Drosophila melanogaster: one gene and its partner. The protein of the gene in region 1 interacts with the protein of each later gene in a pairwise test. Each region holds a gene or a part of one and is shown in the gene's direction. Other genes may lie near its edges. The genes, in order: CG34165 and CG6479.

Region 1 (3,415 bases):
AATTAGCTGCTTTAAATGAGCCAAATAAATTCATTTAGGGTTTTATGCGCTCCACTGAAGTATGCCAAAAGGCACCGTCTTCGTCGTCGCAGTCTTTCGCATCACCCTCTTTTCGGATGGCAGGGTTAAGAGCCAAGTTAAAGGCAACACGTATTGCCAAACTCGATTGCCGCTGGCGCCGCACACCAAATGCAATTTCACTTCACCCTCGTCGAGGTACGGTAAAATTTCCAGGGTCTCCGGTCTCCGGTCGCCAGTATTCCCCATTCGCTGCAGGTGATTCCCCATCGAGACACTTATCTATTGAGTGAGCTTGGTTCGCTTCGTTTGGACCGCTCTTGAAGTGAACGCCAACGAAATAAGAAAACAACAAAGTTTCTTTTGATTATGTCAATGGAATTTGTTTATCTCAACGAAATGTAACCGAATTGAAAAAAATATGTTTTTTTTACGCTCATTTGCATTTACTTTTGCCCGGATATAAATGTGGCAATTGGAAGGGGTGATTTGTTCAAATGTCCAGCTCAGTAAGATTCAATAATTATATATACACGTAACACATTAATGTGATTCTATGGTAAACATTAGAGTAAGGAAGCAAATTTGTTTTGAGAACCCCAGAAACAAAGGCATCATCAACAACGTCAAGTAGCATCAACAACGTCTAGTTTGGGTTCAATATATTGATTCTTGGAAACGTGCCTCTAGAAACTGAATAGCTTAGTCATAAATTCAGTAAAAATACTATTTAAATATAAATTGGCAAACTATTAAAATTCATATCAAAAGCCACGCACCTGGCGCCTGTTCCCCTAAAAAAAAATGGAAACCGGTCAATAACCACAACAAATTCAAAACCGGATTGGAAGAGAAACGCTGGTCACCTGTGAGGAAAGCCCCCACGTCTGGTCCAGTGTCTGGGACAAGTTTTTATTTCAGTGCGGGTAAAGAACCTCCGAAATTCAAACATTATATGAATTCAAAAAAATCGTATAAATAGAGAAAGACGTGACAGAAAGGGCACAGTATCGAGTGCAACATCGAAGCATCCTCATCTTCTGGGATATTAGTACAAATTGAATTCATTTTCAAATTCAATATGAAATTCTTGGTAAGTTTGGCCACCAGAGCTACACCTCGCAGGGATTAAGGACTTTATAAAAATAATAAACGGCCATTCAGGTGATCGTTTTTGTGGCCCTTATCGCCGTTGCTTCCGCGCTTCCTCAATTCGGATATGGAGGATTCGGTGGATTCGGAGGATTCGGTGGCCAACAGCAGCAGCAAGAAGGATTCGGCGGTTTCGGAGGCTTCGGAGAACAGCAACAGCAGCAGGAAAGCTTCGGTGGATTCGGCGGATTTGGAGGAATCGAGCAGCAGCAGCAGCAGCAACAAGGAGGCTTCTTCTAAGGCTGTTACTTTAGTTCCTCGACTAAAAATTAAAATAAATTATTTGAACGTATTAGTATAACAAACACAAAACAGTTTTTGTTTTTAAATACTCATTTACATGTTTTGACAATGGCTTATTGTAGGCCTTTAGATCGACAGAGATTTTATTAATGAGTAACCTTCATTTATTTCGCTTGCTTATAAATACGTTTGGGTTTATTTTTTTGGACATAAGCAACATCAAGAAAAATGAATTATTAAATTAAATTAAAAATTTGTGTTTCAACATAAAAAATTGTTTTTATTTAGCTAATCGAAAATCACTTAATGGGTTAATGACATTTTTGTGCTATAACAACATTAATTGCAAACACTTGAATAATTCGCAAATGATGTTGGCATAAAAACCAAAGGCAGATACTGACTCATGCAAAATTGTGAAATAACCAAATGTTCTGACAGCAATAATTTAACAAAAAACCTAATTTGATTAGCGAAGAGCATACGCCAAGAAGAGCTGATTGCAAACCTGTATTTTTAGTGGGCCCGTCAACCCCAGATACTTGAACGTTTTCAACAACAGAAAAAATCCCCTATAAACACAAACGTTCACAATGATTTGAACAGGGAAGTCCGAGCGGCGATCGCACCGTGCTCAACCAGTTTTGAATGGGCATAAAGCCTAACAAAAATTCAGATAAATACTCATAGCCAGCAGCCGAAACTCAAACAGTTGATTTTAGCATTCCGGTGAAATAAGATTGTTCGCTTGAGGAATATTTTCAATATTCAACATGAAATTCACGGTATTTTTCGCTAAAAATTGGCTAATATAGACATCTACGTTATTTTTTAGTTGAAACTAAATGTATTGTACTGTATGTATTATTTTTTTAGATAATCGTTTTTGTTGCGCTCCTCGCCTTTGCATCGGCCCAGTTCGGTCCGTTTGGTCAAATTATTAGGGGTATTGAACGATTTGAAGGTGGTCTGCAACAACAACAGCAGCAGCAGCAAAGCGGCTTTGGCGGTGGTCAGCAGCAGCAACAGCAGGAGGAGGGTGTCATCTTCAGAGGTCCTTTCGGCGGCGGAGTGGAGTTCTTCCAGGAGCAACAGCAGCAGCAGCAAGGCGGTGGAGGTCAGCAGCAACAGCAGCAGGAGAACCTATTTAACTTCTTCGGCTAAAGCTCCTTAGTGAGGGAAACTAGACATAGACTGACCACTATCTATAGAACTCAAAAGCAAGCCATTAACTAAAGCCATGATCGTAGAGATAAACACACGATAAATAAATATTTTTAAAAACACACAATTATAAACCAAGACATAATAATGCTTTTCTATAATCCTAGTTTAAATATTTAATACTAGTTCATGCAAAACCAAGCTAATTTTAGTTTAATAAAGCAATAACGCTTTGTCATATAAAATTACACGAAATCAAATACAAACAATTTGTTTACGAGGCCAAGGAGCAGACAATTTGCCTGCTATTTGGATGTGAATTCAGCAATGACTTCGTGTTTTGTGTCAAAATCGCGATGATGGCCATGGCCAATTGTTATGGCCAAAGTTTTAAGCCAAAAATCGCAAAACTCTAATGAGTGCTATCGTTGAAATCAGAGGAGAGCAAGTGGGTGTGGAAGGGTCGGTGGCATTTTTGGTTCCTTTATCCGAAAGCACCGAAACACCATCAAAGTCATTAAGCGGAAAACCCTTTTGGCTTCTTTTCCACGCATTTTCATTTCGCCTTGTAATGACTTCATCCCGGCTTCAGAGTCTTTGGGGTTTTGGTTCTGGTTTTGTTATTGGAGACAATTTCGAAGCCATCCTGTAGTTGCCTGTCTGACAAAACAACGCCAGTCAGCTATACAGCCAGCGCCATCCACCAAGAAAGCCAAGAGCACCAACACTCGTAACTACAAAACAACTTTTTAATTGCAATTAAATACGTAACAAGTTTTTAGTTGTAAGTGCGACTACGGAGCACACAGGGAACTTAGCCGTGGCAATAGTGCCCATT
Region 2 (4,518 bases), on another chromosome or scaffold:
AACTGGACCCCGTGGGCTCCGCAGTAGCCAAGAGCTACGATCCTCCCCCGGAGTTCTACCGCGGACCGGGCTCATCGTCATCCAAGTTGGATAGCACTGCAGCTGGCTTCATATCCAAGCCCATTGGTGCGCTGCCGCCTTTTGGAGGAGCTCATGGCTCCCAAGCTAGTGACCTAAATGATAACCTTAGCCAGGCCTATGATAAGTGGAAACTAGGTGGGAATATACACGATCGAATAAGCGTGGGTGAGTTCAAAGATTACTCAATCTATATATTCTACAAAGATAAACTCAAACTTAAAATGATTAATATTTGAAATTGATGACTGTTGTTTATTGTAGATTTCATTAAAAATATATTTAATACTATTTAAGGGCATTATGGCAGCAGTGGAAGTGCTGGCAAAAGTTACGCCTATGACAGTCAACCTTATCAGTATGACTACGGACCATCCAACGGACATGGCTATGAGCCAGGACCTGCTCCTGGGCACACCTACTCCTCCAGCGGAGAGGCAGGGGTGCCATACCACGTTTATCGACCTCGACCCGAACATGGCCACTACCCGGGGCCAGCAGTGGATTACTCCTACAGCTCCTACCCCATCGACTCCCACGAGATAGTCTCCCACAAGGGATCGCCAGAGATCTCACCAAAGGCCTTGCTGGCCAAAAGCTTCCTGATTCCGCTGGCCAGTGCCACCGTTCTGGGCATCGCCGCCGCCCTGGTCAGTAATCCTCTCCTGCTGCAACTAGCTCCTGTTCCGGGGATCGGTGTGGGAGTGGGTGTCGGACCTACAGTCGTTGGCAAACGAAGAAGGAGAAGAAGGGCAGTGAAGCGGGCTTTACGATCAGGGAATACTGATGCAAAACTGAATAGCTCTATCTAAGTACCGTCCTCTCGAAAATGTATTAAATCAGGAAACAATATATAAGATATTATTTTTAATATATCATATAGTTACAAGCGTGTTTTTTATTTAAAGTCAGTGATGGCATTTAAATAATTTTAATAATTTAAATAATTTAAATTAAGGGTCTAATGCTACGAGAGCCTAATAATTAGTTGTCTATATGGAGAGAATAAGATAACGTAATTTTAAGTGACTTGTGGAACCTTTTGTAATGGCTATATGTAAGTTTTTTTTTTACATTAGATTGCGTAATTAGTCGACTGAGGTTCAAACCGGCTCGTTGGTCTAGAGGTATGATTCTCGCTTCGGGTGCGAGAGGTCCCGGGTTCAATTCCCGGACGAGCCCCAGTCATCCCAGTGCGCTAAGGAATGTATAATTTTTAAACAAAAAAGTTATATTTTATAAATATTTATTTTAAAATATTTTTAAGTTATTGAGAATACACATTTAGTTGCATGTGTACACAATTATATACAATTTACTTAGGGAATGAAATAAATTAAAAGTTATTTTATATCATTAAAAACAAACTAAATTAAATTAAATTAAGGAATTTTTTAGCGTCCTCATAAATGTTGCAAAATTGTTGAGTCTTCGGTTTTGTACGGCTTATGTCATAATATATTGAAGATAGAGAAAAAATTTGTTTAAAAAACAGCTAATTTTATAACTACTCTAAAAAATATTATAAAACACTGCATTTAAATGATAAATTAAAAGTTGCTGATAAGTAATACGTTTAGAGTGGGTGAATAGCTTTAAACATTCGGATAAACAAAAAATCATTTTAAAAATCATAAAAATAATTTTAGTTCTATTAAAAAATATGATATCATGGATATTGATCCATACCAAAGAAAACATCGCCGATAGGTGTGTGTCTTCGCTAGGGAAAGTGTCTCCGCTAAGGTATCTTGAGCCAACAAAGTACATAACGCGTTTCATTCCAAACGGTATTTATTTTTTGACCTTGTGGTATTCTAACTTTTTGTCTGTGCTATCACTTACAAACAAGTTTTCCCGGCATTTTCGACCTATTCAGGTGATTTTCTAATAATTATCACATAGTAGGCAATGAATTTTACACGGACTAATTGGTAAGTGACAGAAACTAGTGTAGAATTCAGAAAATTAACCCATGAATGCTCCTCAGCTCGCCGCTGAGTAAAAACCCAGTGGTGCAGCGCAGCCTGGACTTGCGATTGCAGGGCGCCCAAGCGCGGCATTACCTCAAGTGGTGCTCCATAAATGTGGTGCTGCTGTCGCTACTCCTCTTCGACCTCTGGCAGGCATGTCGGTCCGCCTACAGGACCTACTGGTTCCTGGCGGAGTGCACCATTACGACCCTGATTGGCCTAAGTGCACTCGCCTGCTTCGGCAAGTATTTGTGGTTATGGTTTGGTGGTGACCAAGTTACGGGTAGCGATATCCAAAAGTGGCTGCTTGATGGCAAGGCAGGTGAGGAATCCAAAGGAACCCGTTCTAACGCATCCACTTAACCACTTTTATTCCTATAGAGAACTCTTTTCGTACAGTTTGCTCCCGAGCCGTGATGAAACCACGCAGCTACGAACCGGATAGCGATATAGAGGACGACATACCCATCATCAACTGGCACTCCTCCTTCGAGGACTCCTGCTGGGGCTCGCAATCCATGCGCCGCAGCCCCAGTCCCACAAGGACGCCGCAGCAGACGAAACAAAACACCTCTTACAACTCCTCGATGGTTCGAAACAACTCGCTGAATGCCAGCAATCTGAGCAACGAGTCTACCTATATGTCCCCGTATGCGGAGGTGCGACGCGATGACTTCATGACCGATACACGAAAGTTGACCAGTCTAATGAAGCAGGCGGATCGGGAGCGCAGCATGATGGACAGCTCGGATACACCCAATGTGCAGAGCATGGGATCGGCCAACTCCTTCTGGAACTACTGCAACAATGCGGCCTATATGCTCAAGACCACCATCTATCAACTATCGCCACCTCCGGCTGTTTCTACGGAAAATGCTCCCACCTCGATTGAGGAGTTTGGCGGTATTCAGTTTAGGGACAGCAATTCGGAGGTCATCAAGCGCATATCCACGGACAAACTGTCGCAATATGTGGCCAACCTAAGATTTGTAAGCATCCCGTTCAATATTCCACTGCAACGTACTAATGTCTTACCATTTTCTAGTGGATTTCTACGACCATACTTCAGCGTTTGGTCAAAGAGATCAATTATGTGGACGATGTTTTCCGCCAGCGAGCTCTGATTGACATTAAAATTGGATCTGTGAGTGTAGAGAGATTACGCAAAACAGCCGAGAACCAGCAGTTCGTGCAGACGTGTGCGCCCATGTTGCCCATGCTCTTACCTTTCCTGGACACCTTCAGCAACCAGGAATACCTGGTGCAGCGCATCAAGGAGCTTGCGCAGGGCTCTTGCATAGCTGACTACCGCTGGTACTCGGGCAAAACACACAACGGTCAGCAGCGGGACGAGCATTTGCCCACCGATGCAGCTGTGAGTATACGAAATTCCGCAACTGAGCACTCTTGATTAATTGTAACCTCATTCTGCAGATAATATTCCATTTATTTTGCGTGTACTTGGATAGCCAGTTGATGCCGTTGCCGCAGGGCGGCGGACGACCCTTTCACTCCCGCTACGTGTTAATTCGCGACGAGAAGAGCTCGACCAAGGACGTGGTGAACGCAGTTCACAACAAGGCCCACTGCGCCATTTTAAGTACCGGCAACCCACTTAACCCTAAATTTAACTTTATCAGCGACAAAGAACTACACAACTGCGTCTACGATAGGAATAACCTGTTCTACGTTATCATACAGTTCCTAATTTATATGCGACAGCACCAGGACTCTGCTCTGGAGTGCGTAAATCTTGGCAAAAGTGGTATCAACATCATGTGCGTCATCGAAGACTGAACAGTGGAACTAGTGGCTATGACTTTTAATCCCACCCCTAATCACTCCTTACTTCTAAGCATGATCCTTTGTGACTCGACTAGCGTTTGGTGACTGGACAATCCTCATCATTCGTTACTATGAAATTATACATTTGTAATTATTAAGCCAACTTACGACTGTTGTGGTTTCGCGGTTATCAAGTGTCGTGTGGCCTGCGGTCTGTGCAATTAACTTGTTTGGCAGTCGGCGGTAAGCTATATTCGCGGATATGTGCACACAGGTGCCCGACTTTAATTGCCCTTTCATGATTCTCACTATTGACCAGCCAGTTGGTGACCTGGCCATTGGCTCGGCCAGCGACATGCTCCCACATGCTCGCCACTTTGCACTTCCGAAAGTGACAAAATTAATGGTTTCCGCCGACGCTGTCGACATTTTGTCGAGTGAGAGACATTGAGAAAATGCTCCAAAGTAGTGCAAAATGAAGGAGTCGCAAACGGAGACCCCTAAAGCAGGCGCCAGGACGAGCAGGACCTGGGCCCTCTCGACCAGTCACATTACCATTTCTCTTGGCCATGCTCATTTCTGGGCTCTGGCTTGACGTTGAATCGGTTGGCTGGTTATTTTAATGCCGCCCATACTCCCGGATGCCCGGATGGCTGGATGGCTGGCACCTCGGGTGAGTAAT

The links.
Region 2: the proteins of CG34165 (region 1) and CG6479 interact in a two-hybrid assay, tested with the Drosophila melanogaster proteins (one large-scale study listed by BioGRID).

Annotation. Positions count from the first base shown.
Region 1 is NT_033779.5:14,711,643-14,715,057, forward strand, and holds CG34165 (uncharacterized protein), read left to right. Parts: upstream 1-2,107; 5' UTR 2,108-2,186; coding exon 2,187-2,198; intron 2,199-2,289; coding exon 2,290-2,577; 3' UTR 2,578-2,884; downstream 2,885-3,415. Other genes in the region: CG15282 (uncharacterized protein), read left to right, coding at 1,100-1,111, 1,183-1,410.
Region 2 is NT_037436.4:17,336,651-17,341,168, reverse strand, and holds CG6479 (uncharacterized protein), read left to right. Parts: upstream 1-1,906; 5' UTR 1,907-1,989; coding exon 1,990-2,012; intron 2,013-2,032; exon of another isoform or gene 2,033-2,057; coding exon of another isoform or gene 2,058-2,068; coding exon 2,069-2,373; intron 2,374-2,432; coding exon 2,433-3,040; intron 3,041-3,096; coding exon 3,097-3,426; intron 3,427-3,485; coding exon 3,486-3,848; 3' UTR 3,849-3,997; downstream 3,998-4,518. Other genes in the region: CG13727 (uncharacterized protein), read left to right, coding at 1-246, 376-890.